Oreochromis niloticus: one gene and its partner. The protein of the gene in region 1 binds, or shares a complex with, the protein of each later gene. Links are inferred from orthologs where the notes say so. Each region holds a gene or a part of one and is shown on either strand. Other genes may lie near its edges. The genes, in order: ap1g1 and ap1s1.

The links.
Region 2: the proteins of ap1g1 (region 1) and ap1s1 are in contact, whole or in part, in a crystal structure (PDB 1W63), measured with the Mus musculus proteins. The link is inferred for Oreochromis niloticus from reciprocal best matches to the Homo sapiens genes AP1G1 and AP1S1. Residues at the interface, in NP_001288140.1 of Mus musculus: Leu7, Arg8, Ile11, Arg12, Arg15, Leu54, Tyr55, His57, Met58, Gly60, Tyr61, Lys78, Phe79, Thr80, Arg83, Ile84, Leu87, Met90, Leu91, Asp94, Glu95, Thr115, Phe117, Leu123, Cys124, Gly127, Cys128, Tyr152, Lys155, Lys156; in NP_031483.1 of Mus musculus: Met1, Leu14, Arg15, Leu16, Gln17, Lys18, Trp19, Leu21, Ala22, Thr23, Asp25, Arg28, Lys29, Arg42, Lys45, Met46, Cys47, Ser48, Phe49, Glu51, Lys56, Gln74, Asp75, Asn76, Glu77, Leu78, Ile79, Leu81, Glu82, Leu83.

The regions. Positions count from the first base shown.
Region 1 is NC_031965.2:21,842,207-21,858,849, forward strand, and holds the start of ap1g1 (AP-1 complex subunit gamma-1), read right to left. Parts: upstream 8,423-16,643; 5' UTR 8,316-8,422; intron 8,096-8,315; coding exon of another isoform or gene 8,080-8,095; exon of another isoform or gene 8,055-8,079; coding exon of another isoform or gene 8,051-8,054; exon of another isoform or gene 7,788-8,050; intron 848-7,787; 5' UTR 845-847; coding exon 644-844; intron 549-643; coding exon 424-548; intron 169-423; coding exon 27-168; intron 1-26. Other genes in the region: znf821 (zinc finger protein 821), read left to right, coding at 10,576-10,615. UniProt on the Homo sapiens protein: Subunit of clathrin-associated adaptor protein complex 1 that plays a role in protein sorting in the late-Golgi/trans-Golgi network (TGN) and/or endosomes.
Region 2 is NC_031967.2:1,992,181-2,009,543, forward strand, and holds the start of ap1s1 (AP-1 complex subunit sigma-1A), read left to right. Parts: upstream 1-9,379; 5' UTR 9,380-9,581; coding exon 9,582-9,584; intron 9,585-11,803; coding exon 11,804-11,982; intron 11,983-17,363. Other genes in the region: serpine1 (plasminogen activator inhibitor 1), read left to right, coding at 2,830-3,067, 3,377-3,601, 3,713-3,907, 4,011-4,209, 4,319-4,419, 5,463-5,549, 5,886-5,969, 6,060-6,103. UniProt on the Homo sapiens protein: Subunit of clathrin-associated adaptor protein complex 1 that plays a role in protein sorting in the late-Golgi/trans-Golgi network (TGN) and/or endosomes.

The DNA of each region.
Region 1 (16,643 bases):
TAAAACATGACAAGAGTAAAGCTCACCTTTTTCCTTAAGTAGGAGTTGGACGTTTTGAGCAGCTTCTCGACCTCTCCTGCCAGGTCACGACACATTTCTGAAGAACCCATGCAGCCTAAAGTACACAACGCCAGGCCCTGGACATACTGTGTGCTGTGATTCAAATCACTGGTGTGGGAGAAGAGAGTCAAATAAGTCACGGAAACAAAGAATCACTTTATATGCTATACCAGAGAGGAGCATATGAATACTTCACAATCTTATGAAGACTATGAAGAAGTCTAAGAAGTAGATGAAGAAGGTTTTGCAACTGTATTCAGAGGACCATAAGCTCATATTTTAAGTACTGGATTAAGACGGCATTTTTTTTTTTTTTAATTTAAGTGTGTGTGCGCATCTTAACCCAGTGTAGCCTCCACTTACTTCTTAATGCAATTTGTCATTAGGAGATGGACATCCTGCCTCTCGTCCAAAAGCAGCATAGCTCCCAAATAACCTATTCGTTTGTCAGTGAACTTCTGGGATGCAATCAGCTTCAGACACTCCAACTAAAAGGAAAAAAAACGCGTCATCAAACTATTCAGAGGTGCAAACTTAAAACTCCTTTGTATACATACTGCCCTCCCAGCATAACCAAACATACCTGTCCAAAGTGCGCTGGGTAGCCCAACATGTGCATATAAAGCAACTTTGCGACATTTCTGCAACGGTACGTATTGTCTTCCTCTCTAAAGGACGAGCGGATAGCAGCACACTCTTTCTGGATCATCTCACGCTCCTCTGCCTGGGTCCGTGCTGTCCGGATAGTCCGGATCAGCTCCCGCAGTCTGATCGGAGCTGGCATTCTCTGGAAAACACAAAGAAAGGAAACCAGTTGGCATCAGAACAGACTACACTAACACAGAAAAGCTACAATTCTGAAATTTAAGACAAATATAGAACTCTCCAGTCTGCAGCATGGTATGTCACTTTTTTACCTAAAATATGACAACGTATGCTAGAAACCAAGAAAGGGTTTTAGCTGCTGTGCATGTATGCAGAAATGTAGGTTTTACAGGTACCGATCAACAGTCTAGACTTCACTTCCTAAAATGTTCGCTGAAACTACAATCATAAATTTTACTTGGGATAAGAATAACAAAAGGATTTTTATGTTTTTAGGAATAAAAAGTATGTGTCAGTTTTCCAGTAAAACAGACTTTTTTTTTTAAAATCATGTTGTGTAAGATTTGACTTTAGGTGGAAACTGTGTCTCATTCGTTTAGATCTTTTAAAAAAAAAATAAAAGTGCAAAGGCAAAGAAGAAATGGTGAAATTTAAGCCTTGCACAAAGAAGCTTCTAAGCAAACACAAGCTACAGAAAGATGTTTAAATATTTATGAAGGCACATGCTTGCTTGAAAATCAACTTTTATGTGTTTGCATCTACCAATTACCCGAAACTACACTTTACAAAAACAGATCCAAGAGCTACAAAGATGAAAACATGAATTGCAAACTGCATGTTAAATGAACTCTTCAATGAGGCAAATCTAACATTAATATGAATATTACAAGAAAGCTGTGAGCCAATGCAACAAACCTCGGGGAAGGTTTTGCCATCCTCCAGAGGAAACTCACCAGGATATTATCCATACTTTATCAAGTATACTTTCATTTTATACAAGCACAGAACACTGTTTTGTTGGCAGGGTCGGAGATTTTTTTAACATGTTAGGAGAGAGCTATTCTGGTCTGTACCAGTGAGTAAATTATCTTAAATGACCGGGGTTTAATGATTACTACAGCACAGAGACTGAGAGCAAAGTCAGTTCAATTTATTTAATATGCAGCCCAGCAAATGTCAGGTTGTTGGAGCAGACGGGAGGCTTGGAAAATATGCTCAGGCTAGTTTAATTTAACACAATAACATTTTAGAGAACATTAAATTTTTTAAGTTTTTAACTTGGTTTATTCAGGTAATTTTACAATGACCACACATTTGTAACAACACATTTTAACTGTCAAATAAACTGGAAAGTTATTAATTGTGGTGTTTTACTGAGAAATAGGTACATTTTATCTCCCATCTAATGGAAAGCTTTCATCTGGTAGGATGCAGGACATAATTAAGCTTCTACTGCAACAGAAATGATGGTAATTACTTGATGAGCAAAGCCATAACTCTATCCAACTCCAGCTATGCAGTGCTGAAGTGGGAACATAATGCACTCTGACATATGAACCAGAGCAAAGAGCTGATGGCATAGCAGATCCACAACATTTTTCAGGAACAATCTCAGGGACCCATAATAATCACTGTATTGGTTGTGTTGCACACAAACAGTGACTTCGCCACAGTTCCATACCATTTACACCAGCACTGAGGGCGTGAGTACTTGATGCAATATTCCACATACAATACGTGTTGCCAGAGGCATGCACTGAGGCACCACTCCTCTTTTTCAGACATAACCTTCACATCAGCACTGGTACAGGAGGAGAAGTTGTCAAAATCGGGAAAAAAAGACATCTTTAAGTTTTTCCTTTTTTTTTTGCTCCAAAGTTTTTTCAAGACAGACTCCTTTTCCTCACACTCTCTTTGAAAGCCTCATTCAAACTGATACAACATTTCCCTCTGTATAATCTGTAAACGAACTTCTTTACTGATACAATATTATACTGCTGGTTAAAAACAAACAAACAAAAAAACCCACATGATCGTAAATTCGTGTTTTCAACACTGAAGCTACAGAAACAGAAGTGCATGACCGGCCAAAACACAAAAGCACGGTTCGCGCCAGCAGATGTGACGTCACTTTTGGCGTGCACCGCTGTTGCAGAAGGTGAGAACAGCAAGTTTAATGAGCCTGTCAGTCCTCTAAATGTGGGACTGCATCAATTAGTGCTTTATAAAATAATCTCTACAACCTTAACCGAGTAGGATACAGTAAAAAGATGGTTAGAAGTCACAGGCTTTCCTTGGTTTTATCGTCTAGATCAGCGATTCCCAAAGTGTGGGCCAGGGACCGCTGCTAGGCTGTGAAGGTACTGCAGGTGGACTGCAGTACAAGTAAGTGAATTAATTTAAGTTGCACTTAAGTTTGTGTCCAAGTGGTAGGTTTGTCACACATTGGCCTGCATATGACTGGTTAGCATTACCAATTTACAGCCAACAGCCTTTCGCTTGTTTTTGAAGATTTGAGATTGGCTGGTTTTTAAGTGGGCCACAGCACTCTTGACTTTTGGAAATAGCCGATCTTGATAAACACAAGGATTTTAATAACATTCACAATACAAAAATGATTATAATTTTGTTTCATAAACAATCTCATACCAGTAGGAAAAAAGAAGTTTTATAAAATATTGACACAACGTATTTTTTATTCATTTTGTAGTCTAGAGAGAATTTATCCCTCAGAGGCGATTACTGCTGTCATGACAAGTATTTGCTTTTGAGTTTTTGACTTTTTTCCTCCTCAAACATCTTAATGAACCATAAGTGACACTGTATGAAACAAGAAAAACAGATCAACCGTGTGGCTCTATTAAATCATTACACAAACACATAATGAAATACAAGCCTCTGATTTATCCACAACAGCTCTGTCATGTCTTATGGAAATCTTATGTTGTCAGTGTAACAAGAAATGTACAATCTCTGGCCGTTTAGAACAAGCTTTTATGTAACCAAATACAAACTTTACATCTGTCTTCAATATACCTGATTACATTGGCCAGTATTCAGTGCAAGCTAGATTTTTTTCATCTGAATGAATAAAGAGGGGGAAAAAACTCCTTAACATTTCATTATTAACTCCAACACTTGTGGGATCAAAGGAAATCCTCTGAAATTATGCCAGTCTGAAGGAAATAAGGATACACACACAGGAGGAATGAGGACATCCTTTGCTGAGTAAGGTGGTGGCTTGTGGACAATCTAAGAATTCACTTTGATCAAAGAGGAATGGGGAGGGTGGTCAGGCAAGGCCACACTTTAATAAAGCCAGAGACTTACTGTTCATCTTAACACCGTTTAAATTACCTGCACTGAATGGACCCAGTGTTGGGCTCCATTAATCATGGCTCCCCGACTCTTGCTGTGCTCATAATCAAATGTGTACACATTAAAGAACGTAAATCCAGCCACTGCTGAGAGCTGATTAAATTACAGTTTCACATTCTTGCAGTTGCAAAACAGCAGCACATTCTTCTACAAACAAAACAATATCAATTTTAATTGCAAATTACTGACATTGCCTTCAGATGAACAGTGTAGTTTGCCTTTTCATCCACAGATGAATGTGAAACTGCAGTGGGGAAGCGAGGTTGTTCAACACTTGTCGAGCAACAGCTTTTAGTTCACTTTATTGTTCCTCACTACAAAGACCAAATTTTGTAAAATTGTTTCTGTTCTTATCAAAGGTTTTTGGCCTTAAATGAGTTTCGGGAGGCTTAATTTACTAAACACATACTTTGTTTTCTCCTTTAACAAATAACCAGAAATAACAAGAAAATGGAGCAACTTCTATTTTGTAAGGCAACAACCCCTCAAAGGCCCATTTCGAGCTAGGATAAACCGTGATAATATTTATATACAAGAAGAACACCTGTTATACTGCATCCAGATTGCTTTGGACATTTTTACACTCCCCAGACCATATAAAAGCCTAACACTATGAGTTATCGCATGCATCTGCTGACATGTTTTGCATACACTGTGAAACGTTCATAGAAGAGCTAACCCAAATCTGTTTTCAAAGAGTCTGACAACCAGCAACAGGTTAAAAAGCACGTAACACTTCCCATTTACCACAGGGAGCAGTCACCCTGTCGACTCTGAGACATCAGTCTAAAGATATCGAGACACAAAGCACCACTTAATTTTTTTTAGTTTGTTTGTGGCTCTACATCATATTCCTAAATGCCACAAGCATGGTATGGATAGAAATAGAAAGCATGATGTAACATCCATTTATGCTGTCTTTTTTCCCTTTTTTTTTAAAGAGCTGCACATTTAAAGTAGACAAAAAGGTCAGACAGCTCCCAAAAGAACCATATACAGAGCTGTGACTGGCAAACTTTGGCAGACTGCATAAGGTTTTGTTTTTTTTTCTTCCTCTAACCATTCAGCTAGACATCAAGACGTTCTAAATTAAATCATACCAACACAGACTATTCTACTGCTTCTTTTATAACCAACTCGGCTGGTCCTCGGCTTTACAGAGCTACAAATAACTGATAATACTACACAACACTAAAGTTCAAACATGAGTATCAGCTTTGACATGGATTACATTTACACCCTGGTTCCTATGTACACATTCAAATGTTGAGTACTGTACTTGTGCACAGGGGAAGAAGCGCTCGTAATAGTCAAAATATTCTGTCAGGTGTTTTACATGTACACACTCCAGACCTTTATGGTTTTCCAGATTTTGTTTTCCTCTCTTAGCAAACATGCAGAGATCAAAAAGCCTGGTGATTTCTACATCTATGTGCAACTGCAAATAGTCATTTCACTGTTTGCAGCTACCACGCCTTTCTTCTACCACTTAGAAGTTCTTAACCTGCTGAAAACAACACTGAAAATAGAGAAATTGCTTATTTCTTTGACTGATGGTCAAAACAGCCATCAAAGAGCCAATAATGAGATCAACTTTAAATTCAGAGACTCTGAAGTTACACAGGAGATATACAAAGATCCGTGTGTGCCTTCACCATCAGTTGGAGTCAGTTAAGCTAAGCACTTCTTAATTTAGCTTTGTCAGCCTGCAAATTGACAAAGCCTGCTGGAAACTAGCCCTGCTTAGAATGGGTCTTTGGTAAGCTTTTCCTGTTCAAAACTAATCAGAGGCAAAATGTACAACGACCCCAATGCTAAAAGGAGGAGGAAAAGAGACAAAAATAACAAATGGCATTTACAGTACCTTATTTATCACTAAGTTTGTGTGGCTGTTTACTTAGAGTAAAACCATAAAGACTGATCAGTTTCTGTCCAAACAAGACACCGAGGCAGTGCTAACTCACTCAGGACTTAGGTTGGCCAAATGACATTAATGTGGAGTCAAAATGAATCCTAAACTGGAAATACATCAAAAGATCTTAAATAGCCCTGAGGCAAAGCCTGGAGCTATCTGATTTCACATTGTGTGGGGCACTGATATGCAGACACAGTGATCATGTTTAGTTGCTTCAGTGCTGTGTGATTAATGCACGCTAACCCTGCTTATAATGCACCTACTCAAGTACATTTTATGCATGGCATCACTGCCATTAGAGGTAACGGTTAAGTGTTTTTAATTAAGGTCATAACTGCATGTTTCAAGCACAATATTATGCACCATTCTATAATAATGCATCCTGGCTATTCCTTTGCTACAACTAAATATGACTTTTTTTTATCGTTAACTCTCACCCATCTATCCCATGTAACAGACAATACATGTAAATAGAAAAGGTAATGCAGGACAACATACTCCATATTTAGTTTTACAAAGTGAAGCCAGTAGGAATTGAATATGGCTGAAATCTACAGTACTGCGTGTGACTTGACGGTGAGGAAAGTAAAATTATACATTTAACAGGTTCATTTTCATTAGGCCTTCAACCGTAGCAGTACAGTTGGTCCCGAATCTCTCGAAAGCCCACATCAAGCGTACAGATAAAGTAAACTGCACGTGAAAGGCGTTGCATTACACCTGGCTTGTAGTTTACCAAGATTGGTTTTGTGTGTCGCTGCCACAAACAGTGGACCTGAAGAGCTTACTTCGACCTAAGCTTGTGGAGGCGTAATTTACAGCTCCTGTCAAAAACTGTAGAGAAATCACCCATACTGTACGTCACCTCATTTGCTCACTTCCTACTTGCACCTGACTTCCTTAACACTTACATGCAAACTGATCCTGGAAGATGAATTAAACTCGGACGCTGACAACGCAGTTATAAAAAAGCGCGTGTCTAAGTCTTTCCTTCTCATTTAACAGCTTGTCAACACTAATTAACCATCTCACGAAACTGGACAAAAACCCAAGTCCACGTCCTCAAAACACCAAGCTAGCTATCGTTAGCTTCCCTGGTATTTCAATTAAACGCTAACTTATGGATTAAACGCTTACAGTTTGTTAAATATTAGGAAAGTCTAACTGTATTAATAACCACGCCGTCAAGCGTCACATGCTTAATATGACTTAGAAAACGCAAATCACACCTCTGAAGAGCCAGCTAACAACTAGCTAATTCAGTAGCATCTTAAAAGGGCAAGATATCATGATGACACTACAGGAGTAGCTTCATCTTAGCTGGCGCTGTATTACATTAAAGTTTACATCATCGGCTGTATACAATCAGAGGCAGGCCATTACATCTGACTCTGATCGCCGATTGATCAGGACATAATGCAGTTTAGGCCTTCTTGAAGCATTTGGATTATCAAGCTAGCGTAGCTACCTGACCATTAGCTTGCTTCTTCATTACCTTAACCGAATACTCTCTGAATTAAATGCAACTTGTGCCCGCTAGTTAGAAAGACAGGAAATACCAAATTGTCACTGCGCGTTGCCTTGATGACTTTGATTTAGTGGACACAGCATACTGCTGGGCTACACATCCCCAGTCCAGCAAGGCTATAACTATGCTAAACATGCTAGCTAACTTAGCACAGCCCCGGTGCACTAAGGGCTGCGACTTCCTATGCAGCGCCACAGTGACAGTTGTCAACGTAAATACAGTCAAACCGCGGACAACTACTCACACGTAAAGCCATTTCCCCAAATTTATGCCGACATATTGTTGCTAGGATGTACTTACTAGCCGTAATGATGCCAGAAAATGACTGGAATCGTCTCTATTAGCAATGGAGGGAGGAACACACTAGACATGCAAAATGGTGGCTACTCCAGCCTCAGCACATCTACCGCAGGCGGAGGGTTACACTGACAGATCGCAAGGGGTTCGCGAAAGAAGAGCTCAAGTTTATCATCAGCGTACAGTAACGTTAGCTGTACAGGAGGACTAAATCACAGTCTGTGCCCCTTACTCGAGACTCCTGCCTCATATGTTCACTGGACAACATGGGTAATAGTTGAATTATGTCTTCATTATGATGGGAGATGTAGGTAGGTGACTGTACTCAACCCTTTCTTATCATTTACTAATTGCTGTGTGGCTTGTTCGCTTCCATCGTTCTCACAGTAACTATAATGGGCTAACGTTAGGCTTGTTATCATTAGCCAGCTAGCTGATGTTATCCTGTTGTACTCACTGACTGGATATCTAAATAATTGTGCATAACGTGACGTGCTGTTTGCGTGTGAATGTGTGTCATCTGCCACTTGCCTTACAAAGGGGATTTCATGACCTGACGAGATTATTTTGTTGAGATGGCATATTTTCGCTTGAGCGTGCGGAAGAGTACATTTTCACCCGGTCAATGTGGTGCTGCGGTCAGTTTACTCGTGGCAGTCAGTGATGACGACTACATGCAATGTTATGACATTGACAGTCCAACGGTTTGTAGCGACATCTAGTGTTGACTGTAGGATATGCAGTTAGAGAGAGCGTTTATAATGAAATTACAAGTGTCATGATCAATTGTAGCACTACTTTTTCTTCCTATTATGGCTAGAGGGAGCACAAAAGTATCACAAACTGGGCGAGAGGCTCAGAAATTGTAAGGCTTTTGCAACAGAAAAATACCCTCAGCTTTGTCAGTGTCCAATCAGTGGATGCATGTCCTTGGAGTTTTATTATGAATATATTTGTTTATTCTAAAAAGTAAATGTTCATGTATTTTTTATTTATTTATTTGAATTAGCACTGTCACCTCACAGCAAGAAGGTTCTTGGTTCAAATTCAGTCTGGGCCTTTCTGGATGTACTTTATATGTTCTTTTCACATCTGTATGGGGGGTTCTCTCTCTGAAAACTCTTCACTTCCTCCCACAGGTCAAAGACATGCATGGAGTTAGATTCACTGGTGATCTTAAATTAGCTGCAAGCGGGAATATGAGTGTGAATAGTTGTCTCTATGGGTTAGCCCTGCGATAGATTGGCAGCTTGTCCATGGTATACCCTGACTCTATGACTGAGATAGGCTACAACTGCCCCCCTTCCCATCTCAAATTAGATAAGGAGTCAAGGAAAGTGAAGGACTGGATGATCATTTTATTTAGCCTATAAAAGTACCTTTTATCCTATAGGGTTATCTATACACTTCGGTGGTAAGCTTAAAAATATATCCCTGTTTATCTAAAAATGTCAAATTGAATGTATTTATTGCAAAAATTCTCCTATGGGTCCCTAGCACACTCCCTGGACTGTGGCTACCTGCGACTCAGAATTGGAAAGTGGAATAAAATGAATGAGTGTTAGTTATTTAGGTTGGCTTTTCCAATTTTTTTTAGCCTCAGTACTTTTTGAGAAATGTACTCAGATCTGTCATTAATCTTTATTTAAACCAGACGGTCTGACTGTGCCACAATACTTTTTCATCCATCTGACCAACCGCTCTCACATAATTTCATTGTGTAAAATAAAAGACTTATATTGTATGTTGTCAGTTTCTTCATTTGGCCATACAGCAGGAAAAAAGTTTACTTTGTCACTGTGACAGGATGCAGCTTCCTGTTGTATGTTGTGTTTGTACTCTTTGTCTAATGGCAACATTAACTCAAAAGTGTAACTGACTTATCAAATGTGTAAGTGCAAAATAATTGCTTGAACATTAATTTCCCATTTCTATTTAATAAAAATATTCATAATACAAGAATATGATTAGAACAATAATTTAACCTAAGAATATTATTTGACACAGTAATCCCTTAAGGTCCTCACAGATTATGGGTTTGTTTTTATGTTTTATTTATTTATTTTCGGTAGATTTCAGACGCGCGGGTGAGTTCTTATGATAGTGTTTATTGGGGGTGTGGTGTGCTGAGTGGTCCTTGGATGAATATTTATTAGTTATTAGTTGAGGTGTCATTGTCAGGTTATAGTTACGTACTTACAGAGCTTATAAAGTTAAATAGGAATCATTGCTTCGTCAAAACCGCCAACAGCAATTTACTTACTTACTTTAAATTGATATTTGAACATGGTCGGGTTTTTTTTTCTCCCACACGACCTGAATGCAGCATAGTATCTTTCACTTGAACTCCCCTGCGTCCCTACACATCCCACAATGCTGTTCGACGTTAGCTTCATTCCTTTTACGTTTAGATATCAGCTGAGCTCGTGCTGCGCTGCAGTTGTGCGCGGGTGCCAGCGGATCGGGATCGGAGCAGCTCGGAGCTGCTCGGAGTCTCTCTGTCCGGGCTTGGACATCATCTTAACCCGATAATCGGCTGAAGAAGGGGCTTTTAAAAAAGACACACAAAAAAAGACCGCAAGAATGTGACTCTTAAATGTGCCCGATTTTTTTTTTATTTTTTTAATCTCCGAAAACGACCCAGTTTCTGATCTAAACGATTTGATTTTTTAATATTATTATTTTCTTCATCATCTGCTCCCTCTGTCCGGAACATACTTGGACCGTCCGGGGTTAGGATATTCTCTTTTTTTTTTTCAGTTGTTTTTTTTTTACCGGTTTGGGCAGTAATATGTCCAGGCGAAAACAGACCAACCCCTTCAAAGTTAACTGTAGGTATTTCAGGTATTGTCTCTCTTACTATTTCACGAGTTTTATTGATGACACTTGCGCTATCCGTGTATACTTGGGTCGGTTGACATGATCACGCTGAATTACTACCAGCTACGAGGCTAGTATTGTGAGTTTTCTCTCTCTCTCTATCTCCGTGTGTGTGTGTGTGTGTGTGTTGCTTGTTTGTTTTATCTATATTTGTAGGATATAAACATTGTAACTAATGATATTTGTGTTGCCAGACAGCTTTTAAAGAACCACGATTTAGGGTCCCATAAAAGGCAGTTTGGGGTTCAAAAGTTTTTTATTTTTTGAGGTAGAGGTAGGTTTGGGTTAGCACTTTAATTGTGATGTTTAATGTGAGGGTAAGGGGTTAGGGAGTATTTTAACTCTATGAAGATTGTCCACAAAGATATGCATGTGTATCATCGTTTAAAAATGCAGTCCCAGGACACCTACTGTTGCAGGAACTACCACAGAATTAGTTTTGAGTAATTTGGCAGGTGCTTTTGTGCATGCATTGAGGTTTGGGTTTATTTATTTATTTTAAATATTACAGTCCTGGTGACTTTTTCTTCATATTGAAGGCCAAAACCTTTTTGGAACGTGCCAAAATTTGTATGACTGGGAACAGGTTTTGCCAAAATAACAGATAAAGCCATGAAATGTGGCAGGTTTGTAGTTGACGCCAAGCTGGTAGACTTGTGTGATCCAGCCCATGAGTACTCAGTAGTCCTATAACTAGAGACCATCTTGCAGTGGGATCACACCAGTTGTGACACATGCCAGTATACTGACATTTAGACTCATTAGTACTAGTATTCAGGACTCATGAGTTGGACCACACCCATCTTCTGACTTAACCGTTATTTCGCTGAAGAATACACATATGTAAAGTTTTATGTCAGCACCTCGCACAGCTTTTGTCACATTACTGCACTGGCAAAATTTGCCCACAGACAGATATACAAACAACTGTCAGCATATTTGAAATTCAGTTTGAGGTATCTCTATGGTGCATTTTACCATGATGACGCACACAGAATCACAAGTAGAAACCAATAATAGCTACTCTATCATGCTTGGTAATAATGCAGTAATAACTACCATGCATACTTAATGCCAGCGTGTTGACGGGTGATGCAGCCACTTTGATCCAATCTTAGTGCGGTCCCACTTTTTTTCTTTTTTTTTTCTTAGCCCTAATATTTTTGTTTTTAACAATAACTGATTTAGGTCTAATTTGACCACAGTTATTATTTACAGGTATGTGAAAACAAAAGAAACAGGCATAAAATGGGCCATAAATACAGTGAGAGCAAACTCAGGTCAGATGCACTCAACAGACTAGAAAATCAATAGTGACCGTCTTGCAAGGTTTTTCCAGCATAATTTTAGTGTTCACCACACCACAGAAAAACCACCCGCACAGCGATAAAACTATTAGTCCATTTTTATGCAGGGTTAAATTTAGTCTTTAACCTGACTCGCTTTTTCATTTATCAGTTGTTTAAAAATAACTAAGATATGTAAGATACCCAATACTCTTGCCTTGTATGTGGCATCATCCCCAAAAGGCCAATTTTGAGCCAGGAAAAACCTCGTCTGGTGATCAGAAGGCATTACTACACTTTAACGCAAATACTCAGTACTCGGGGAGCCGCACCACACACAATCTCAAACTCGGCTTCATTTAGATCTCATCTGTAAAGTTTTGTATCTGTGATTAGTACTGTTGTTGGCACTGTCTTTCACTTTAGTTCAATTTTATTTATACAGTGCCAAATCACAACAACAGGCTACCCACAGACAGACAAACACCTACCAAAGTACTCACGCACATACAGGCACACAAGCTTATAATAATGCAAGCTACACTATTGCAGCATGTAATGATAAATAACTGAATCTGTTACATAATATGTGAAAGAGCACACTCCTGGTACATTTTTAAAAATAATTTAAGTAGCCGCTATCACTTGTTGGTGCTGATTACAGGCTTAAAAATATTTTTTATAAATATCTCTCCTTTAAGGCCGATAAGCTTATATTCACTAAAAATGTTGTGTGAAAGAATCTTTCAGTTAATTATCAAGGCTTGTGGCTAACCATGTTTCTGGGTTCAGTTTTGAGATGTTATTTTTGTCAGTTATCTGCTCATTTAAAAGAAAGTATGAGGCATTTTTAAAAAACAAAACAAAACCTATGACTAAACCATGAACAGAAGGGACAGAGGTTTCAGCTTGTACAAACAGTAGCTATGTGTGCACTTGATTCAGTTTTCTCTGACAGCTCAGATTTAGGACAAGATTGCAGGAGAGCATTACTGAGCACACAAGCAGCAAGACTTCCCTTGCGTTGTATGCAAGAGTGTTTCTGTTATTTCCCTCTTTCTCCTTCCTTTATTGAGTGATACATCTAATATTTTTCTGCTACACTAGCTCTTTTCATGCTTACTTTCTAATTCTATTCAACATCTTAGTTTCCCATCCCAAACAATAATTTAAGATTTTAATTAAGATTTTCTTTTAATGGTAAGCAATCATCTGAATAAACAAACATCTGGTTTCTGTTGTTTATTTGTGATGGTTTGCTGCTCATCTGTTTGATATTTTAGCTAAATAAAAATTTCTTCCATTTAAAGAAGGGACCTTGGGCTTACTGGTCGCTTAAAGTGTAATGCATGCTGACAGTAAGGATTGCTGACATTTATTGACCAAATTCTATTTTAAAATAGTGTCATATTTTTATAAAGCAAAGATAAATTTATTGAAGCAGATCTCAGGAGCTCTTGGGAGACCCTCTAATGTAGATATTTTGTTGGTGACTCATCTTCTACCAGGATGCTCCTGTCAGTGCTTAGCCTGCTGACCTCTTATCTTATGCTAGTTTTTGTCCACTGAAGGGGATTGCCCAGTGTAATCTACTGAAGAATGCTGCAACCCTCCTTTCTAAAGATAGTTTGTTCAAACTGCTGGAGAAATACATCTCACACTTGCTGCAGACCGCAGTCATCCCTGTGAGCTAATGAGCTCATTTGTTGCTCTGAAACACCTTTGAGAGTGAGCGAAAGGCCTCAGGAGGCCCCGAGACTGTTGTATAATATATTTTTTTTTAATTTTTACCCAGATCCATGACACGAGAGTGTGAGTGTGAGTGCAGAAGGACACCTTTTGTACACCAACTTTCATTCTTCCTCACCATGATTTGTTTTACCTGTCTTTTCTTGTGAGGTATGAATTGCATTCAAAGAGCTGTCCCCTTTGAGTGGGTCAGACCAGACAGACTGACAGACCAGACAGGCAGGGAGACAGTCTGACAGGCAGGCGGGCTGACACACATGCACATGTTCACACACGCAAAAATGCACACACTCAGTAGTACGCACGCACACACACACACACAGGGAATTCCAGACAATGATACAACAGCGGTGTTTGTCTAGCTGTTAAGTTTGATGTACAACAATACACAAGAAGTATTTTGTTTTGAGGTGGTGGTGCATACCCTTGTGGTGTCAAGTGGATGCCTGTCAGGGAAGTACAGTATATTTGTGTAACGGTATATGTGAGGCTTTGGTTTCATCATTTTTCTGTACCTAAATGTAGAAGTTCTGAAAACCTTTATTAGTATTAATTATAACAAATAAGGTGTTATTTCAGAATATTTCACATTATATATGTATTGTTGATCCAAATATGAAATTGAGTTCTCGGGTGGGGGGGCTGTTATGAATCCAGCTTTGAGTCTCGTGTGGCTACAAGGTGTTTGTTAGTCTTGTAGCTGAATCAAAATCCTAATCTAAACATGGAGCGATCACTTTTTGTTGTGTTAGTCAGGAGCAAACTAAGTTGTGAACATTTTTTGTTAAGAAAAGTGTTTAATCACTCCATCTCCATCCGTTTTCTGCAATATTAGGTCAGTGGTTATTCGGGGTGAGAACTGATCAGATGTCTGGCCCACCGTCCGTGTTCTCCTGAAAGTCTGTGGACGTAAGACGGGGGGGCCCCAGTACTTCCTGCAGATTCAGACAGTGTTGTGTGTCTGCATGTGTGCGTTTTTGGAGGGGATGGCTGCTGAAAAGGAGAAGGAGGGGCCTTTGAATTCAGCAGGACCCCCATTGCTCTGTGTTTGAGTAGAGTTTTGGCATTCTGTCTTTTGTCTGTTTTGTTTTGCGCGCTACCCCTCCGTCACCCTACCACCCCCGGCCTCCCCCCCCTACCAGCCCTCTCCCTCTTGTGTGTGTCTCTTGGCTGATGAGTTTGTCTCTTTGTCTGGATTCAGTCAGACACTGCGTCACCTCCTGCCTACAGACACACAGACTCAGAGATAACATCGCAGTGCTAGAGACTGAGGGAGCGAGGAGGGTGGGTAGTGGTGATGGTGGCGGCGGGGGGGAGCAAGGAGAGACAGATGTACAGACAGAACCGTAGCGTTGGGGGGATGGGTATCTCTCACACATCAATCATTGGCTATGCGCCGAGAAGCCAGCCTGTTGTAGTAGTTCACAGTTCAATACTCGGACCCACTCTAACGAATGCTTGGATTTCTGTGGGAAAAGTGCCCAAACTGTGTTCACATACCAACTTCTCACAAGTAGCCAAATGACTAGCCTTAAGATTATACTTCTGTCTTGCTCACGCACACACACAATAAAAGAGAAAGTGTGTGTCTGTGCACCGTGCACAGTACCTCAGGATTGTGATGAATGCTGTAATTACTTCTGCCAGTCTCAGGTAACTGAAGTCAGGATCTCTCTCTCCCATCTTCTGATCTGTGTAAATGGAGAGGGAGCACACAAGGGAAGAAAATTGGATTTTAAGCTATCATTAATTTTCGCTATCTCAAGTGGTGATGTTCCTATGTGTGAATGCCAGAGGAGTTTTCACCAAGACTGCATCCAAAGGAGCAGTGCTGGCAGTTGAATGAACGTTTGCGGAGTCCAGTGTAATAAGAAGAAAAGTGAAGGGATTGCATCGCATCCTGCAGCCAAAAAGAGCCGCTGTGTACAATAAAGTGTGGCATCGCGGCAAGTGAAATGAGCTACATATGGGCTGTCATGGTGCAAAGCTTTATCCTCCCCCTCAGAGCTGATGGTAAAGATATAGAAGTAGTCAGAGCTCCATATATAAGCAGGGAGGACAGAGGGCGAGCCAGGCTGTTCAGTGTGTGGGTGGTACTGAAGGAGAGAGAGAGAAATGGAGCAGCTAGGCAGTTAGCTGGAGGATAACAGTGCAGGCTGCTACCCCCGTGGGACTGCAGCATGGCTGTCGGAACAGCTAGCATGTATCTGTGAGTGTATATGTGTGTAAAAAAAGTGGGGGTTGGGATGCAAGTGAAGTAAATGTGCGTGCATATATGCAACTGGGCTTGTCTCGCTGCTTTTGTATGAATCCCAATCCTTGTTGTATGGGTCATATAAAACCAGATGAATCTGCTAAGAAGTTCTCCTCAAGCTGATCGCACCCCCAGAGTAGAAAAAGGTAGAATGGTTTCAATCATTTACTCTCTGGGACAGCTTTCTATCTGTTTTGCTCTGATTATAGGTTTTTGTTTTCTTTAGCGTGTTATATTTCTGCAATAATCTCAAGATTTTTTGCATTTTTATTGGATGGTGTGATCCACATTTATTAAGTATGATCAAACCATGGACCTTCAGCTATAGGTGAAACCACTTCTGTTAAAAGATTTATACCTTCTTGTGATACACTACAGAAGCAGATGCTGTAACGAAGTTGCTATGGAGATAAAGCTTTCATATGCCGGGTACAATATATGGGTAGAGACAGTTGCTCAGAATTGTTTTCTTTTTGTGCCCAAGGCAGGACAAAATGTCAAGGTATACCTATAAAAGAAGCCCCATTTGGAATATCATCAGTTCTTCTGATTGTGCAGTCAGATGAAGGTATTTTTGAGCAAAATGCCTTCAGTTCTTATTGTGCTTTACTATAGGCTGCACTAAACTCCACTATAATCTGATTTGGAGAAATTGTGGATTTCTTTTTATCAGATTCTGTCATACACAAT
Region 2 (17,363 bases), on another chromosome or scaffold:
AGCAAAAACAGCATAATGTGTAAAAATAACGGTGGTGATCCCGAAGGCTTGATAACTGACTCGTCATCCCATTGTTCACTGCTGTTATTCTCTCACTGTTGTGGCTGTGTCACATTCCCAGGGTATTAGTAGTGGGAGCTTCTCAGGCTTAATAAGCAAATAGCTGGTATTTTCAAGACAGAAAACTACAGCTATTTAAAAACCAAGGCAAACTATACCAGACACTGTCAATGACCATAAACATTTGTCACAGTTATCTTAGAATAAAGAAAGATCTGGTTCCCAAACTTTGTCATTAAAATTTGTTGCCTAGGTTTGTATTTTTCTTTGGAATTATTTTGAATGTTTTATATAAGGTGAACTAGTTTAAACTGATTTTCTTTTTTAATAAGGTATTCATGAAAATACATTTGCAAATCTTTTCAGTGTGAGTATAGCTCAAGAGGCAAATCGTCTACATCTGCTATCAGAAGGTTGGTGGTTTGATCTCTGGATGCTTCAGTTTGCATGCCAAATATACTTTGACAAGATACTAACCCCGAGTTCCCCCAGTGCATCCACCACAATGTGAGTGTAGGTTAGATAGAAAAGCTCTCAAGGATGAAACAGCTTGTGTGAATGAGGCTTGTTTTATAAGGTCCCCTCGCAGAAACGATGGTTCCAACAGCACAACATCTGTTCACCTTAAATACAAAGCAGGTACAAATAATTAAGAATAAAATATCAGCTGCAATTTTGGTGTTTCATTCAACAGCATGAGAGGTCACAATTATAGAAGTTAACACAAGTGAGCCAGAAACAGATGAAAACAAAATAAATAGCAGTGCTCGTTCACAGACAGCGCTGAAAGTGGAGTCCAAGGTTTTCCTTTTAATCGATCTCATTTCTTTCTGATGTTCTAAGAGGCTGTTGTATCCATTTGTATTTATTTATTTTATACTTATTTTGTATTTTTGGTGATTCTTATGTTTCTGTTACTCTGGATAATCCACAGATTGTTTTGGTCCTACCTTTTAGGAAAATGGTTGACACTGTATTCTAATGATTAAGAGGTGCAGTTTGGTAGTTTCTGTGTTTCCTGGGTATCTGCAGTGTTTTAACATCTTCTAGTCCTTTTTGTTTCTTTGTTTCTTAGTGATGGATATTTAAACACTCCACAACAAAATCAGGTCCAGGAAGCTGTTTGGTTTTGCTTTTTTCTATATAACAAGTGGCTTCAATTACATTTTGTTAGCCTGCCACAAGCTTCAGTAGAAAGACTCGGAAAAAGTGTGTAAAATGCAAATCTCTGTCTACCAGATGCTTGGTGAGTAGTGGGATAAGGAATGTTAAAAGCTGTGACCAAATTTGGAATTCTGATGCATGACCACCCAAAGTGAGAGCACATGAGCATGTATACCACTCACTGCAGCACTGGATTATATATGTTTTTAACCTGTGACAGGTTAAAAGAAGTCAAAAATATTCTTCCAAAGAAAAACAAACAACAGATAGCACATTTACTTCCACGCCATATTTCCTGTAGAAAAATGCAGAGCATTCGAGTGTGCAGCACTTGCCTGTCAGCAAGCAATTTTTATTACATTCAGACATTCTAAAAAAAATCAGTGATTGAGAAACATTACTGTGCATTCACCTCTGACTAACTGCTCTAGCATGAGCAGGAAGAACAGACTAATGTGTGTGTGTGTGTGTGTGTGTGTGTGTGTGTGTGTGTGTGTGTCCGTGTGGGGAAAGAGTTAAGCGACTTTCCATATCCTCAATGATAAATTGGAAAAAGAGACAGGGAAAAAAGTGAGAGGGAGGGTGAGTGGACATGTGTGTTCATGAAAAGGAAGTCTGTCCAGACAGTGTCAGATGACATCATCGTCTCCAACACTGTGTGTTTATGTGTGTGCAAAGGACGGGGCAGTCTTTTAGTATAAATAGATGAAGCGCTGTCAGTATTTCAAACTCAGGGAGCAGCAGAGAAGATCCAACCTGAACAAACAGGGCTCTGATATACTACACTGGACACATCCCAGCTACAAGGTAAGGACCTGAACTTGACAGTTCAGACTTTAGCTTATACATACAGCCACACACAGCATTACAAGGAATTACAAGGGACATTGTTATTTAGTACAATAAAGTGTAATTTAGCCTCTTAAGTAGTTTTCAGTTGATCCTGTACGCATCCATAAATTACACCGTCAATCACACGTGCACAGCTGTTTTTAATATAGATGTCTATTATGTTGACTTACATTCAGTTCCTAAGGACAAACTGACTCTGTTATAAATCCTATCCTGAATTATTATTATTAAGTTTATTATTATTAAATCTCATTATCCTGAGTCAGTGTTTGACTGAAGCCCAGTTAGAAGACTGAAATCTACACTAGGAGTGGACTAATATATTCATTTTCTTTTACATCTACCAGTTTAACATGTTTTCTTTCGGTTTTTATTTATTTTCATACTCTTGAGCCTTTCTGTATGCAAGTTTTTACAGTCATTATTTTAAGACATCATTTTATGGCCACCTTTTGACAGCTCCTTAAACTTTCTCTGTACCATTGTGTAATCCAGTGCAGTTTCTTACTAAGAATTGGAAAGGATCTGCTGACACGAGGTTCAGCGGTTAAACAAAAATCCACTCCTCTTTAAATGGATACAAAATCTGTTTCTTAAGAATGTATCAGTTTTAGTGATGTAGTGTACAATCACTGCGAGAAAAGCTGTTTGAGTAGAAAGGTTATACTTGCAGTTGTCAGATACAGAGGTATCTGCTGCATATTGAATCACCACTATTCATATTTGATGAAACTGTATTTTTTCTTTTCCAGAATGCTTTGCGTATATATTTTCCTGGTGCTGGCTCTGAGCAGAGTAGGACTGAGTTCTCTGCAGGATAAGCAGACTGATTTTGGGCTGAAGGTCTTCTACCAGTTGGCCCAGGGGTCTACAGACAAGAATGTGGTCTTGTCCCCATATGGTGTGGCCTCTGTTCTGGCCATGGCTCAGCTTGGTGCAAACGGAAACACCAGCAAGGCCTTAACTACAGCTATGGGTTTTTCTCTGCGAGGTGAGTGACATATAGATCCAGACAACAAAGTGGGACTGAAGCAACAGGAACAGGTTACAGGAAATAATGAGATTACATCCATAAAGTTTTTAGCATCAGGACAACAATATGGCATTATTTACTGTTTACACATACTGTAACATTTCCAATAGGAAGTTTGTAACTAAGTTAAAGAAAGATAAAAAAAACAGTAGAGGGAGCAGTTTTTATCTTTCTGCAAGTGAGGTGACTAGTTTTGTGAATTTGGTAGATTAGAGCATGTCAAGACCATAACCTTGAAAAAAAGCCTCCTATGGTTTACTCCCGCAGAGCGAGGGATGCTTCGGCAGCAGTGGCTTCTGCAGCAGGGCCTGTCCACTGAGGAGGGGGTAGAAATAGCCAACGGGGTGATGGTGGAGAGGAAGATGAATCTGGAGAAGAGATATCACCGGAACTTGGCCAAGGCCTTCAAGACCCACCCTCACCAGGTGGACTTCACAAAGCCAGACCAAGCCATCAGCGTTATCAATGCATGGGTCTCAGATCACACTGCAGGTATATTCAGATAGCAGACTCAAACCCCTCTGAAACCTCCATCAGCTTTGATTTAAGCGGACATCTATCTTTGCATCCATCTTTGAAATTGTTTGGTCATCTGTTCTGCAGGTCTTATCCCTGAATTCTTGCAATCTGGATCTCTGACTGATCAGACCCGCCTCGTCCTCCTTAATGCGCTCCACTTCCAGGGCCTCTGGAAAATTCCCTTTGACCCAAAACTGACACAGGAGAGGATGTTCCACTGTGCCAATGGCAGCACTGTGCCAGTCCACATGATGAGAATCACCAACCGCTTCAACTATGGTGGGCCACGTCGTTGCACTTGTTTATCAAACGGTTCCACAGATGACTAAAGTCTCTATCTGTATTTACTTATTAAGGCCTTTCTTTTCCCCTCAATTAACAGGAGAGTTTGTAACTGCTGATGGAGTGGATTACGATGTGATTGAGGTCCCATATGAGGGAGACTTACTGAGCATGCTCTTGGTGTCTCCCTTTGAGCCTGAAGTTCCTCTGAGCAAGCTCAGTGCAGACCTGAGCAGCCAGAAGATCCGACAGTGGAGGACAGAGCTGAGGAATGTCAAGAGGCAGCTGGCCTTGCCTAGGTAAGAGAGAGCTGGTCAGAGTGTATCTTTGGAGCTAACAATAAATTATATTGTTTCATATTGATTATTACAAGAAAACACAAGAAACTGAAAGACTGGTATTTTGAAGGTTTACTCTGGACTCTGAGGTGAATTTGAAGACTGCGCTAGTCAACATGGGACTAGGAGACATCTTCAACCCAGCTTCTGCAGACTTCACACGCATCACCTGTAAGTCAACCTTTTTGTTAAATGTTCATCTCTCCGGGGTAGCTGTAGTTCCCGAGGTGCAGCAGGTCATCTACCAATCAGAAAGTTGGTGGTTTGATCCCTAGCTACCCCAGTCTGTATGCCAAATATCCTCAGGCAAGATACTAACCGCAAGTTGCTCTCCGATGCATCCACTGGAGTATAATTAAGTGTGAATGTTAGCTAGAAAGCACTTAAGCATATGAATTGTGTAAATGAGACAAGTAAAGCACTGTGAGTGCTCAGGTAGATAGAACAGTGCTATATAAGAACCAGTCCATTTACTGTTTGCACTGACTGACATATCCTGGTCAGCAATGACTCCAAGATTCCTTACAAACTTGGAGTCATGAGTGTACTGTGTTGTTACATGAACAAATTGGAGTGTGTTACAGATACAATTCAAACAACTGAACTGTTTAACACCAGTGGTGTTTTAATGAGGTCCACTGTCAGAGTCTGTGAGAAGATAGCTCATGACCGTCACTAAAGCTGTTTTTGTGCTATGATGCACTCTTAATCCTGACTAAAGCTTTTTAAATAAACCAGTCTTTCAGAGATGATCACTCAGTATTTTTTTATAACTGCTCTTTCAAGATATATATACATATATCTTGAAAGAGCAGTTATAAAAAAAAAACTGAGTGATCATCTCTGAAAGACTGGTTCATATATATATATACATATATATATATATATATATATATATATATATATATATATACATATATATACATATATATATATATATATATATATATATATATATATACATATGAAGAAATAAAATCCTTTTAAAGTAATGGTTTAATTAAAACCACCTTAAAAGCCTGTGGTCACCTGTCAATAAAGACGGTCCATATTTCAAATTGAAGCATTTTAAGCCTTAATGACGGATTATAAATAAGCAGATAAAAAAAATGAAGGTTTTAAAAAAAACTACATAATGAAAACAAACAAACATATTTTTATCTAATTTTTTATTCTTAATTTATTCATTTGTTTTTTTGTGTTTTTCCCTCTAGTGGATCAAAGGCTGTGTGTGTCAAAGGTCCTGCAAAAACTGAAAATTGAGGTGAATGAAGAGGGAACCAAAGGAGCAGCATCAACAGGTACCCTCATTTTTCAGTTCTATATATATTTATTTGTGGCACAGGCGATACAATTGATTTTTTTTTTTTTTAAATTTTGTCTAAGTATTAAACATAATATGATGTAAGCTAAAAGGGGATATTGAAAATAGGCAACATAAGCAGAGGTCTTATTGATTTATAGATGCAGAGAAAATATTTTAATCATATTTTGTGATTAATCAAATTGTAACAAATACTTTTCAACAAAAAAATGTATCAGGAGAACTATTTGAAGATAATGTAAGGGGTCCAAATGGGGTCCCCACATAAACCCAACACTGACCTTTCCCCCCCTTTCTGTTTCATTGTTCTTAGCTGCTGTCATGTTTTCTCGTATGGCAGTAGAGGAGATCGTTCTAGACCGACCTTTCCTTTTCCTTATCCAGCACAAACTCACAGGTAACCTTTCACTAGAATACAATTTTACAATACCAGACTGCTGATCATCCAGGTAGGGTGGCTCTCTAATGTTCTCCCTTTTATGTTTAGGTGCTGTTCTTTTCATGGGTCACTTCAACCAGCCTCAACAGTAACCCACTCTGAGCCCACTCTCTGCGTGAGACTACTAAAATTCCACATAATGGCCATCGAATGGATGACATATCTGACATATACTACTTAAATCAGATGACATATTTGAAACTGCAAACTAAATCACTGGAAAGTTTATTTAGAACAGTATTGAAAGAGATTTTGTTTAAAAAAATATTTCTTTATAGATTATTTATTTCTCTGAATGTTTCTGGCTGATAAAACATAATGCGATATAAAGGAAAGTGAACATATGAGGTATTTCACCTGTTTCTGATACAAAAGATAGTGATTTAATTGAAAGGGAGGGACGCTGATGCATTAGTATTTATAAAGAGTTATATTTTAATATTACTATTTTATATTACTGTTAAAAAATTATATTTCATATTTTTTGGTTGTTTTGTTCTTACATTTTTATTTCTGTCACTATGCTTATATTTATTAAACTACTATATTTTTTACAATGTTGCAGTCTTTGAACAGTTCTTTGAAAGGTTAACACTGACTTTTTCTGCTTTCCCCCTGATTCAAGCATCAAAAGGCATCTAACAAATCAGTATTGTGTCTACACATAACAGACATGTTATGTTCCCATTTCTTTAGTTAAACCTGCCAAACATAAGTTTGGCATGAAACAGCATTTTTGTACCATTAAGGTGCAAAATAGGTATTAGCTGAAAACTTGAAATACCAAGCATGGTGTGCAGTGACTGAGGAAACTAGACAAGTGGAAGACAAAAGCATGTCTAAAAAAAAATCTGTATCTATCTACAGTAGATAAACAGTATCTGAAAGCAAGATATAGGGGTGGGGTGGGGTCCCGACACTGATTCACCAAAGCAAAGAAAACCTGTCAGGAAGCCATTCTTAAGAAGGGGAAACATTACACAAGAACTGGAGTGAAAATGAGGCAAGAGGTCTTCATTTTTCAGCATCATATGATCCCAAACACACCGCCAATGCAGTAAAAAGCATAGATAAACACCCAGTGGAACACACTGAGAGCCTGCACTTCAACATTATTGAATCTGTGTGGGATTATCTTGACACAGAACAGGCAAAAAACAGCCAAAGCAGAGCTTCAACAGGTCTTTTGAGAAATTTAGAGATTATTCCTGAAGAGCAATTAAAGAAATCACAAATCTTGCCTAAGAGAGTTCAAACTGTGTTGAAGAATAAAAGTGGTGACACCATGTATTAACTTCCATGTATACATATATATATATATATATATATATATATATATATATATATATATATATATATATATATGTAATCTCAACGGAAATGAAGATTTTCAACCTACAGAGGGCCGAATTCAAAGGCTCCAAAAAGTGTTCATTCTGCTCCTACTGTGACAAAGGAGCGGTTCTGTTAAAATCTCCTTCATGCTTTGAGAGTGTGCTGGGAGACACACCCAAACCTTCTGTCAATGATACATATTAATGTACCAGGCATCTGTGAAAACAGAATTTATGAAGTTTAACGGAGTTAGATGTTAGCAGGAAGTTAGCTCGCTAGTTTCCACCTAAACATGATATATCATGTTCTGACTGAGAGATTTCTGAAAAAATTAAAACACAGTTATGGTTAGCATGATATAAACATATTATCACAGTGAAGCTGGAGGATAAAACTTTTTTCCACTCGATAAAAGTTAACGTGAGGGTTCCCGATGGTTAGGGACAAATGCAATCGCATGGCAGGATGCTGTAAACGGACCAAACTTCAGGGATAGGGCAGAGATAGCTCAGTAGGTAGAGTGATTGCCCCATGATCGGAAGGTTGGGGGTTTGAATCCACTGAACGGCTACCCTGAGGTACTCCTGAGCAAGGTACGGTCCCTACACACTGCTCCCTGGGTGCTGCATTGGTGGCTGCCCACTGCTTCACTGGGTGAATGGGTTAAATGCAGTGTATGTGTTGGTCCCTACACACACATTATACAAGGTCAGGGTGTATACTGCTGCATGGGCTGGGCTGTAGTTACATCATAAGGTTTTAAAAACTGAGCTTTAAAATGAACAGTGGTAATAAAAACTGAGAGAGGCTGAAAGTGATCACTGACATTTTAGGGGCTCGTTCAGAATAAATAGAACAAAACAGAAAAAATTAAAACTTTAAATTAAAGTTTTAAAAAAAACTTTAAAACTAAAAACACAACAGCCTTATTAAACACAGAGTAGTTTGAACCCAGTTTGGTTCATCTCGTCATCACTTAAAGACTGGATAATTAAACTTAGTGTGTAAAGAGGACTCTCTCCATTTACATGAAAGAAAAAACAGAGTCTATCAGACAGATATCATTCAAACCCCTACAGTGCCGTACTTTAATACCTATGGCATGCTCTAATCTCTGTAATAAAATACTGTGGTCAGTATTAACGATGGACTGAGGTCTAGCAGGACAAGCACAGAGATGAGTCCACTGTCAGAGGCCATAAGAAGACCATTTGTAACCTTCACTAAAGCTGTTTCTGTGCTGGGATGAGCTCTGAAACCTGACTGAAACTCTTTAAATAGACCATTCCTCTGCAGATGATCTGTCAGCTGTTTGACAACTGAGAGATTGGTCAATAATTACCTAAGACAGCTGGATCAAGTGACTGCTTTTTAAGTAATAGTTTAATTATTGCCACCTTAATTGCACATAGCCTATTAATAGAGATAGATGATCATATTCAAGATTAAAGCATTTACTAATTGTAATAGTTTGAGCAGTTGGTAAGAATGGGTAATGGGGTCTAATGGACACGTTGATGACCTGGAGGAAGCCATTACTAAAGTTATTTCAGACAGATATAAATAAATATAAATGACATTTAAAGTAGCTTAAAATAATAGTATGTCTATGGTTGTGAGTATTTGTTCTTCAATAGATAAAATTTCATTTTTAAAAAAAATTAATGAAGTTAAAGTTAAAGGAATGCTTGACTCAGCAGAGCTCTGACAGTGCTGAAGAGAAACCTGGGATTTTTCGGTGTTTAATGAATGATGACGATGAAAAATCCTACCGATTTTCTTTTTTTTTTTTTTCTTCTTTTTTTGAGCAGATTTTTTTTTCCAGGCAACATGGAGATCTTCTAAATTGGTGACATGGCATTTCCCCTCTAACTTACGGGTTATCCGCTTTAAGGTCCGTACTTGAAAGCTATACCAGGGAGTCAGTATCCGCAGTCATACACAGTGAGGATGTAACACTAAAGTCGATACACTGTAAAATCATTCGAACCCTCCGGAAGTGAGACGAAATCATAAACGTCATGTTAGACGTGCCGGAGTGCGCATGCTCCTCGGATGTGGAAGCGCTTTGGCAGAAACAACGATCGTGGAAGGGTTTCCGCTTTTTGCAAGCGCAGTAGTTGAGCACCTCACACGGGAATGAACTTTCGGCATTAGTTCGGGTGTAGGTCTGAGTGGGCAACGAGGGAGTAGAGTCCGTTTGTAACGAGACACAAACGTTAAAACCCCCACAGAATGGTAAGTTATTACGTCTCACTTGCAGGGAAAAGTGTATGTGGAGGGTATGCTACGCTAATGCTATCAAGGTGTATGATTCCAGGAAGTCACCACCTGCGCTAACTACACCTGGCTTCTGTCAGCATAGCCTTGCAAGCTAACAGGCCAGCATAACCTGTGAAACTTCATCTTTCTTACGCTGTATATAGCTCTCGTGCAGCTTGTGGTCTGTGTGATGTTAGTCAAACTTTAGCATGACAGACACGGGACAAACTAGTGTGACTGCCCTCGTTGCAGGTAATTCGTTTATCTTTAGGTTTTAGTTATCGTCAGCAACGAAGGTGATGGCGTGCTTGTTACTTTCTGCCAGCCTACATAAAGTAATGAAATAGGCTTCATTATGTGGCTAACTTTGTGCTTAACCTCAGCTCAATTGTTTTTGGAACTCTGTATGGCCAAAACCTTGAGCCAGATGACTGGTGATCTTAATATTACCTGCTACAGTGACATCTGTTACTGGCTAGACTGATGAAACAATAACATTCATCTTTTATGAAACCATACCTCCCACAGTCATGCCTGCCAAATAGACTGTAGACTGGTAGCAGGCAGATGGAAGTAAACATAATAAGTGATATGCTGGATTAGTATTGCCATGTCTGCAAAGTTTTAAAATACCTGTAATACACATTACAGCATAAGTTTATATCTGTGGTTTCATTATGTGATTGAAGTGTTTGCTTTAAGTGCTTTAAATGCAATACATGACGTTTATGTCTGGAGGTAATATCAAACCAAAATATTATAGACATTTGATGTCACTTCCTCCCTTTTCTTTGCCAGTATGGCGTGGGAAAACAGCATAGGATGATGAGATGAAACACTCGCCATATACAACAGGAGTGTAAATTTGCCATGGCCATTATGTTATTATAGACTTTCAAAAAGAATATATAAAGATTGTCGTCCTAGTGCAGGTCTTTAGTGACCAAATTCATTATTAATTTTGCTTTTAGTCCTAATTCAGTCTTCCCAGCACCTGAAAAAGGTAACTGACTCTTCAACTTCTGAGTGCTCCACTTTGTTCACCTACTACTTTTGAACTGGCAGTTTGTGTTTTTTCAGTAGTGTACTCGGGATGTATCAGAGAGAAATTGCATTAATCAACTGAGGGATTTGGAGGGCATGGGATAAGTGAACTGGAATTTAAATAGCCTATTATAGAAAGCCCTGAAGTTGTTTTTATTTCTTTGTTTGGTTTGACTGGTTCATTTTAACATTATATCGTTTAAAAAGGCTAGATTATAATGCTGGCTTAACTCCCTACTTGTTCCATTGTGACACTCCCTTGGACCAAGTAGATATGGGATAACAATCAGACACCAAGTGGAGATTAGAAAGGTTTTTTTTTTATTGTCATTTGAGAAAACAATTTGGCATGCTCTTCTCTTTTTTGCAGTATATGTCTACTGAAATGTTTACCACAAGTTAAAGTCTCACAAAATGTCATAGACTTGATTTTTGAATGCAGCACATCTCAGTCCAAGCATCTATTGTGCTGGATTTCAAACATGGTGCGCTGCTTTGTTATTTGAGCAGACACGAGCTGCCGTGTGCTCTAAAAGATGTGCACTGTTGACATGGTTTAATTTTCTAAAAACTCAGTGTACACTGTGGTTTATGGGTCACCAAGGATTTGATTCTCTTGGGCTGACTAAGATTTCACTGTGTATTAAACTTTGAACCAGAACTTTTTCTAAGCAAGTAATCCAGACCACATGGCAAGATGTTGATAACTAACCAAATTATCTGTTTTTGGTGTCTTCTTCCTACCATATAATGGCATCTGCCTCTATTAATAGGAGGGCCCTCCTGTTTATCCTCTTTGTCATGATGTTGGAACACTTGGGCAGGCGCACTGATTATTTTATTGGAGCTGAAATAATTTTGACCATATTTAACTCTTAATGACGTCCCAGTATTTCTTTGCTTTTGGGAATTGAAAGAGCATTTGATCACAGAAATGATTAATGATGTCAGACTTGATAATAATGTTTACAAAAAGAGCAAAGTATAAAAAACTGTGATGAAGTGACTCATAATTGGTCACAAGAATGCAGTTAACAGGAAAAGTTCCTGTACTGGACCAATAATTGTAATTGTCACATTTATGTATTGACATATACTTACACATTGAATACATGTTCTCATAAATGCTGTACTGTCTTTTTTGCATGTAGATGCGCTTCATGCTGCTGTTCAGCCGGCAGGGCAAGCTGCGACTGCAGAAGTGGTACACAGCCACAGCTGAGCGTGACAAGAAGAAGATGGTCAGGGAGCTGATGCAGATAGTGTTGGCCCGCAAACCAAAGATGTGCAGTTTTCTAGAATGGCGCGACCTCAAGATTGTCTATAAAAGGTAAAAGTGCCATGGGCAGTCCTGCATTTTGTACTCATCACAGCATCACCTGCTTCTTGTGGTACTTTCTTTACACTATTTTCATCTTTTCTCATTTTAATGTTACTGACAGTTGCTTCTAGTGTACATATTTACAGTTTCATTTTCTTTCATGCTATGAACTGCTGTTGATTTTTCACTAATTATCAAGAAACTGTAAAGAAATGCACTAGTGCCTTTATCCCAGTGCCAGGTTCTCAGGTTCATTTACTTGTGATACATTTAGGCAGTAGCCTTTATTGTTTAGAAATTTTAAAAAGGAATGTTAGTAACGCAGTATTAAACATGTAAAAAAGATGAGATGTGGCAGTGCTTTGTCTCCAAGAAAGAAACCGTGGGAAGGAAAATTACATATTTGTACGTATTTGAGTATTTCATCAAAATTAATGTCTGTCGGAAAGAGAAGCTGCTTTCGTATAGATGGGGACGATAGGCCCACGTCCACCACAGTGGTAGATGGTCTTTCACTGCCAGCCCAGCCCCCACTGGTGGAACAAGTAGATGAACTAACAATCTGCATTGGCAAATTGGGTGAACTACTGTCCTTGAGCTCTAACTACAGAGCTCCAGTGATCAGTGGAGGAATATGGGTGGCCCCGATGACCAGGGCCATGGGCTGGATTTGCATTGCCTTAACTGCCAGGAGCTCTTACCATCAGGGCACGTTGCTACAAATCTGGCCTGCTTCCCTTGACTTCCCCGGTTGGAGAACACCTCTTAAGGACTTAAACCAGCTATGCCTAAGGAAAACAACTTAATTTAGAAGATGCAGTAGGTCTTTCTGTTGAATGTTACATTATTAGATTCTTATGAGTCATTTGAAATTTGAAGAAGCCCCACACATTGCATACTCCTATAGTGACACAGTGGCCTCTCCTACTTCCCACTATGGCCAGCCACGTCAGCTGGCTTTGCCACACCCAGCAGAGTTAATGGCTGAGTCCACAGTGTTGACACAACAAGCTTTAGAACATTTGCTTTTCTGCGTCAGAGCTTTGGAAGGCATACTATATCAATTGGAGAAAAAGGCCCACATCGAACTGCAGTCACATGGTTCAAGACTTATTGCTAGACTCCCTCATGACATGCATGCCAGTTCCAGAGGAAATTCATCTACTGAAGATAAAAAAAATCTCTGTTAAATCTCAAACCAGCCTGCAAAGGGCTGGTTTGAGATTTAACAGACCAGACAAGTTCAGCTGCGGTGAAGGGAAGGAAATTACACCAAAGAAGCATTGTCCCTGAGACTTTGTTGCATGAAACAACAACCATCTTATGTGGTACAGAACCACCCTTGACCATCACTAAAGAAACCATCCCCTCTACAAGTATAGTCTAACACTAGACTAAATCAGTGGTGCCAAACATAAGGCCCGGGGTCCAGAATCAATCCAGCAAAAACACCAATTCAGCCCACTGGAAGTCTTTGGAACGTGATGGATTTTTGAACTTTTGACTGTATTTTTTTTTTTTTTTTTTTTTTTTAATAATAATAATTTCTAACAGTTTTTTCTGTTGATAAAGACTTCCTCTACAGCCATTCATGCTACACCAAAGTAATGCATAAACATTTAATTGACAGGAACTTTCCTGTTTTTCACTATCTACTATGGAAATTTTCATTCCCAAAAATAAACAAAACATTTTTCATCAATCAAAAAAACAAAACCATTTCGTAAATACAGGACAGTCTGGGCAGTGAACTACCAGAACTTTTTCTGTAATGTTGTCATGTAGAAAAAGTAAGATGTGCTGTTGAAATTTAAATTTGTAGCTGAATGTCTTTACACTGACAAAGTATGCCAGCATGGACAGATTGAATTCTTGCTTCCCTACACAACAAGGGCCAAAGATCTGGTACAACAACTGTGGAATAAACACAGACAACATGATGACCATGGAATACATGATAAATGAAATTCCCATCTATTGATCATTTCCTCATCCAGATATCGTCTGGGCTCCTGAATACAAAGTTGAAGGTTGCCCGTAAGAACTGCAACAGCTTCTGCTCTTACTGAAGCTCCGTTTACGGTGAAGGAGCTTATATTGTCTCTACTGTCGTTTGTGTTATGGTCGGGCTACTGTTTTGGTCCGACCATAACACAACAGAGTTCCAGAAAGATGTTATTCCTTTTGAGAACTCTCACATCAGAAGAAATGATATATTAGTCACTCAGATAACTTAAAAATGTTATTGTTTGGCTTTTTTCAGTGTTTTATTTGTTCCTGAGTAAATCGGTTTGGCTGAGGTTAAAGTGAAAGTTTTTTACAATATACATCAAACATAACACTGAATAACAGAAGTGTGAGATGGTAGAGAATTTACGCCAATGTCATATTATATTTTAGATAGCAAGGAGCAGACGGCTGAGTTTAGTAAACTCCACCGAGACAGCTGGTGACGCAAATCTGAAGGCTAGACTGTCCAATTTCACAAACGCTCACTTCCGGCTTTCTCGGTCTTTGGAGGACCCGGCCCACATAGACCGCAAAGGCCGGATCCTCCGAAGGATGGAGCCCCTCAATCGAGACACAGCTTCAGAGTGCTGAAAAACTAGTTCACACATTTATCACTTGTAGGCTGGACTATTGCGGACTATGGGAATTTTCGTTTCGGTCTCTACTCTCGGTTCCGTTATGGGCAGACCAATAAGCTGCTGGGAGGTTCCCTCGATGTACGGAGTGTTTCTTCTTTGCTCCTTTTCATCTTGTCTCTATATACCACTATGCATTTAATCACTAGTTATTTTTAGCCTCTGGCTCTTTCCACAACTTGTCTTTTGCCTGCTCTTCCTTCCCTCACCCCCAGTCAGTTGTGGTAAATGGCTCCCCCTCCCTGAACCTGGTTCTGCTGGATGTTTCTTTCTGTTCAAAGGGAGTTTCTCCTTGAGGCAACTGTTGCTGTGATTTGGTGCTAAAAGTTTTTTTTTTTATAATTGGCATGAGAAAAGTCTGTACCAATGGCAATTTTGCTTGATGTTTAGTAATATAAATGGAATAAAATAAGTGGAAATAATTCCTTGCACATAATGCTTGATCAGGTCTTTATCTGCTCAAGGATAATTGAGTGTGCGTGGGAGTTTGCCCACCCAGTCTACATGTGTTTTGTGGACTTGGAAAAGGCATTCGATTATGTCCCTTGGGGGGTATCATGTTGGAGGCTGCTGCTGAAGTATAGGATGTTGCTGTCTAACTGCAGCAAGAGCTTTGTCTGTACTGCAGGCACTAAGTTGGACTCACAGGGGTTGATGGGCTTCGCCAAGGCTGCATTTTGTCGTTGATGCCGTTTAGATTTTTTTTTTATGGACAGAATTTATAGTCGTAGCAGAAGGGCTCCATCTTTGCTCAAAAAGCAGAGAAAAAACTCTGCTTTTTGTGGATGATACAGGCCTTCATCATGGAGTGGTCTCTTAGATCACTGGGGTGCCTCACAGCAGAGTGGTAAGTGGCAGGTATGACAGTTATCACCTCCAAATCTGAAGCCTTGGTTCTCAGCTGGAAAAGGTCATAGTGCCCATTAGGGCTGGGACGAGTTGCTGACTGAGTTAAAGTAGGTGTTGTTCATGAGTAAGGGAAGTGGGAGATTTGAGCTGCAGCTGCATTGATGGTGATGCTTAGGGCTGTTCGATATAACGATATATATCGGATGACGATATAAAAACGTCTGTCGTTTCATTTTACGCTATCGTTTGTTTCGTGGTGTTGCAAAATAAACTGTTTATGGCAATATTTTTTGATTATTTTGATGGTCACTGTAGTGGCTATATTAATTTCCTAAAGTTCTCTCTTTCTCTTATATTTAATATAACCACATTACAGACGGACAAGCGCTTGTTTTTATGCGTTGTCGTTAGCAACAACGACGGTAAAACCACGGCGTGTCCGCTTGTTTATTTTCCACATAAACCTTTCACAATAAAGCTCAAGATCCTGTTGAGACTTTTCAAAATAAACTGAATCACGAGAAAGATGCAGAGTATTTACAGATGAGAAGCAAAAAAGAGCCGTCAGGTGTTAAAAAATAAACCTTAGACTCAAACGTTAGAACAGGCTTTTCCCCGCAGCACGCTGTGTAATAAATACTCACAAAGAAAACGGCGGCCGTTACAACCTATGTCTAAAAATGTATTGTTTCATGCATCAGTTAAAAGACTCGACTCCAGGTACGCGATGCCCAGCTGGAAACACTTCACGCAAGTCAAGCTGCCCAAGATTCACAGAATTTAGAGAAAATGTTACATTTTTGTGATTTATATCGTTATCGGACGATAGATGTCTTAATATCGGGATATGAGATTTTGGTCATATCGCACAGCCCTACTGATGCTGGATACAAGCAACAGAAATTGGCTTCTCAGAAGAGTGGCTAGCCTTGCCTTTACAGATCAGGTGAAGAGTACAGTCATTTTGAGAGCCACCACCCCCACCCCACATCAAAAGGAGGCAGTTGAGTTGGTTCAGGCATCTGACTAGGATCCTTAGGAGGTGGTCATTGACCCACTATTAATCATGTGTTATCACATGAGCCAAGGTGTGGTAGAAAATTTGAATTTATCACACCATGAGACCTGTTGATTTTTCTCTCCAGTTCTTGTGTAATTTGGCGTACCTCAGCCTTTTCTCACTGTTTCCCTCCCTTAGATTGGCTTCATGAGTGGTTTTAGCTCAGCAGCAGACCACACTGGGTGCCATTCCTTTGTACGGGCTCACCAAAATAGGGAAGAAGAAGATCGTGTGGTCTGTTGAACTTCAGTTTCTTATCTGACGTTTGGATGAGAGGGTCAGAATTTGGCATAAATAGTATGTAAGCATGGGGCTATCCTGCATTCTATGAATTGTTCAGGCAGGTGTTGAATGGGCTTCTTAGTACCAGTTGAGCATCATTTAGAAAATATATCTTACCCAAGTATTTTTTTCTGACCCCATCCAACCCTTATGCTCACAGTGTGCCCATCCTGCGATGATGGCTCCCCCAGTCACCGGTCACCTGGTTTCTTGAACATGACAATGAGTTCACTGTACTCTCATCGTCCCCACTGTCACCAGATTTTAATTCAATAGAACGCCTTTGGGATATTGATATAATATTGAGATATTGATGTGTTAATAACCAAAACTCAAGCACAAATTGGATGTTACAACACAACTTGGCAAACAATGCACTTAAAACAGAAAGCAGAATTAAGGATTTAATAATTTTGCCCACTTACCGTGGGCAAATGACAAAATCAGGCAAGTCAACAAGGTCAGGGGGGATGAGTGACTGATTAAAACACAGATGCTACTTCATAGGCCAGCACCCAAACACAGGTTATTGGACTGAAAGAACTCTGCATGCT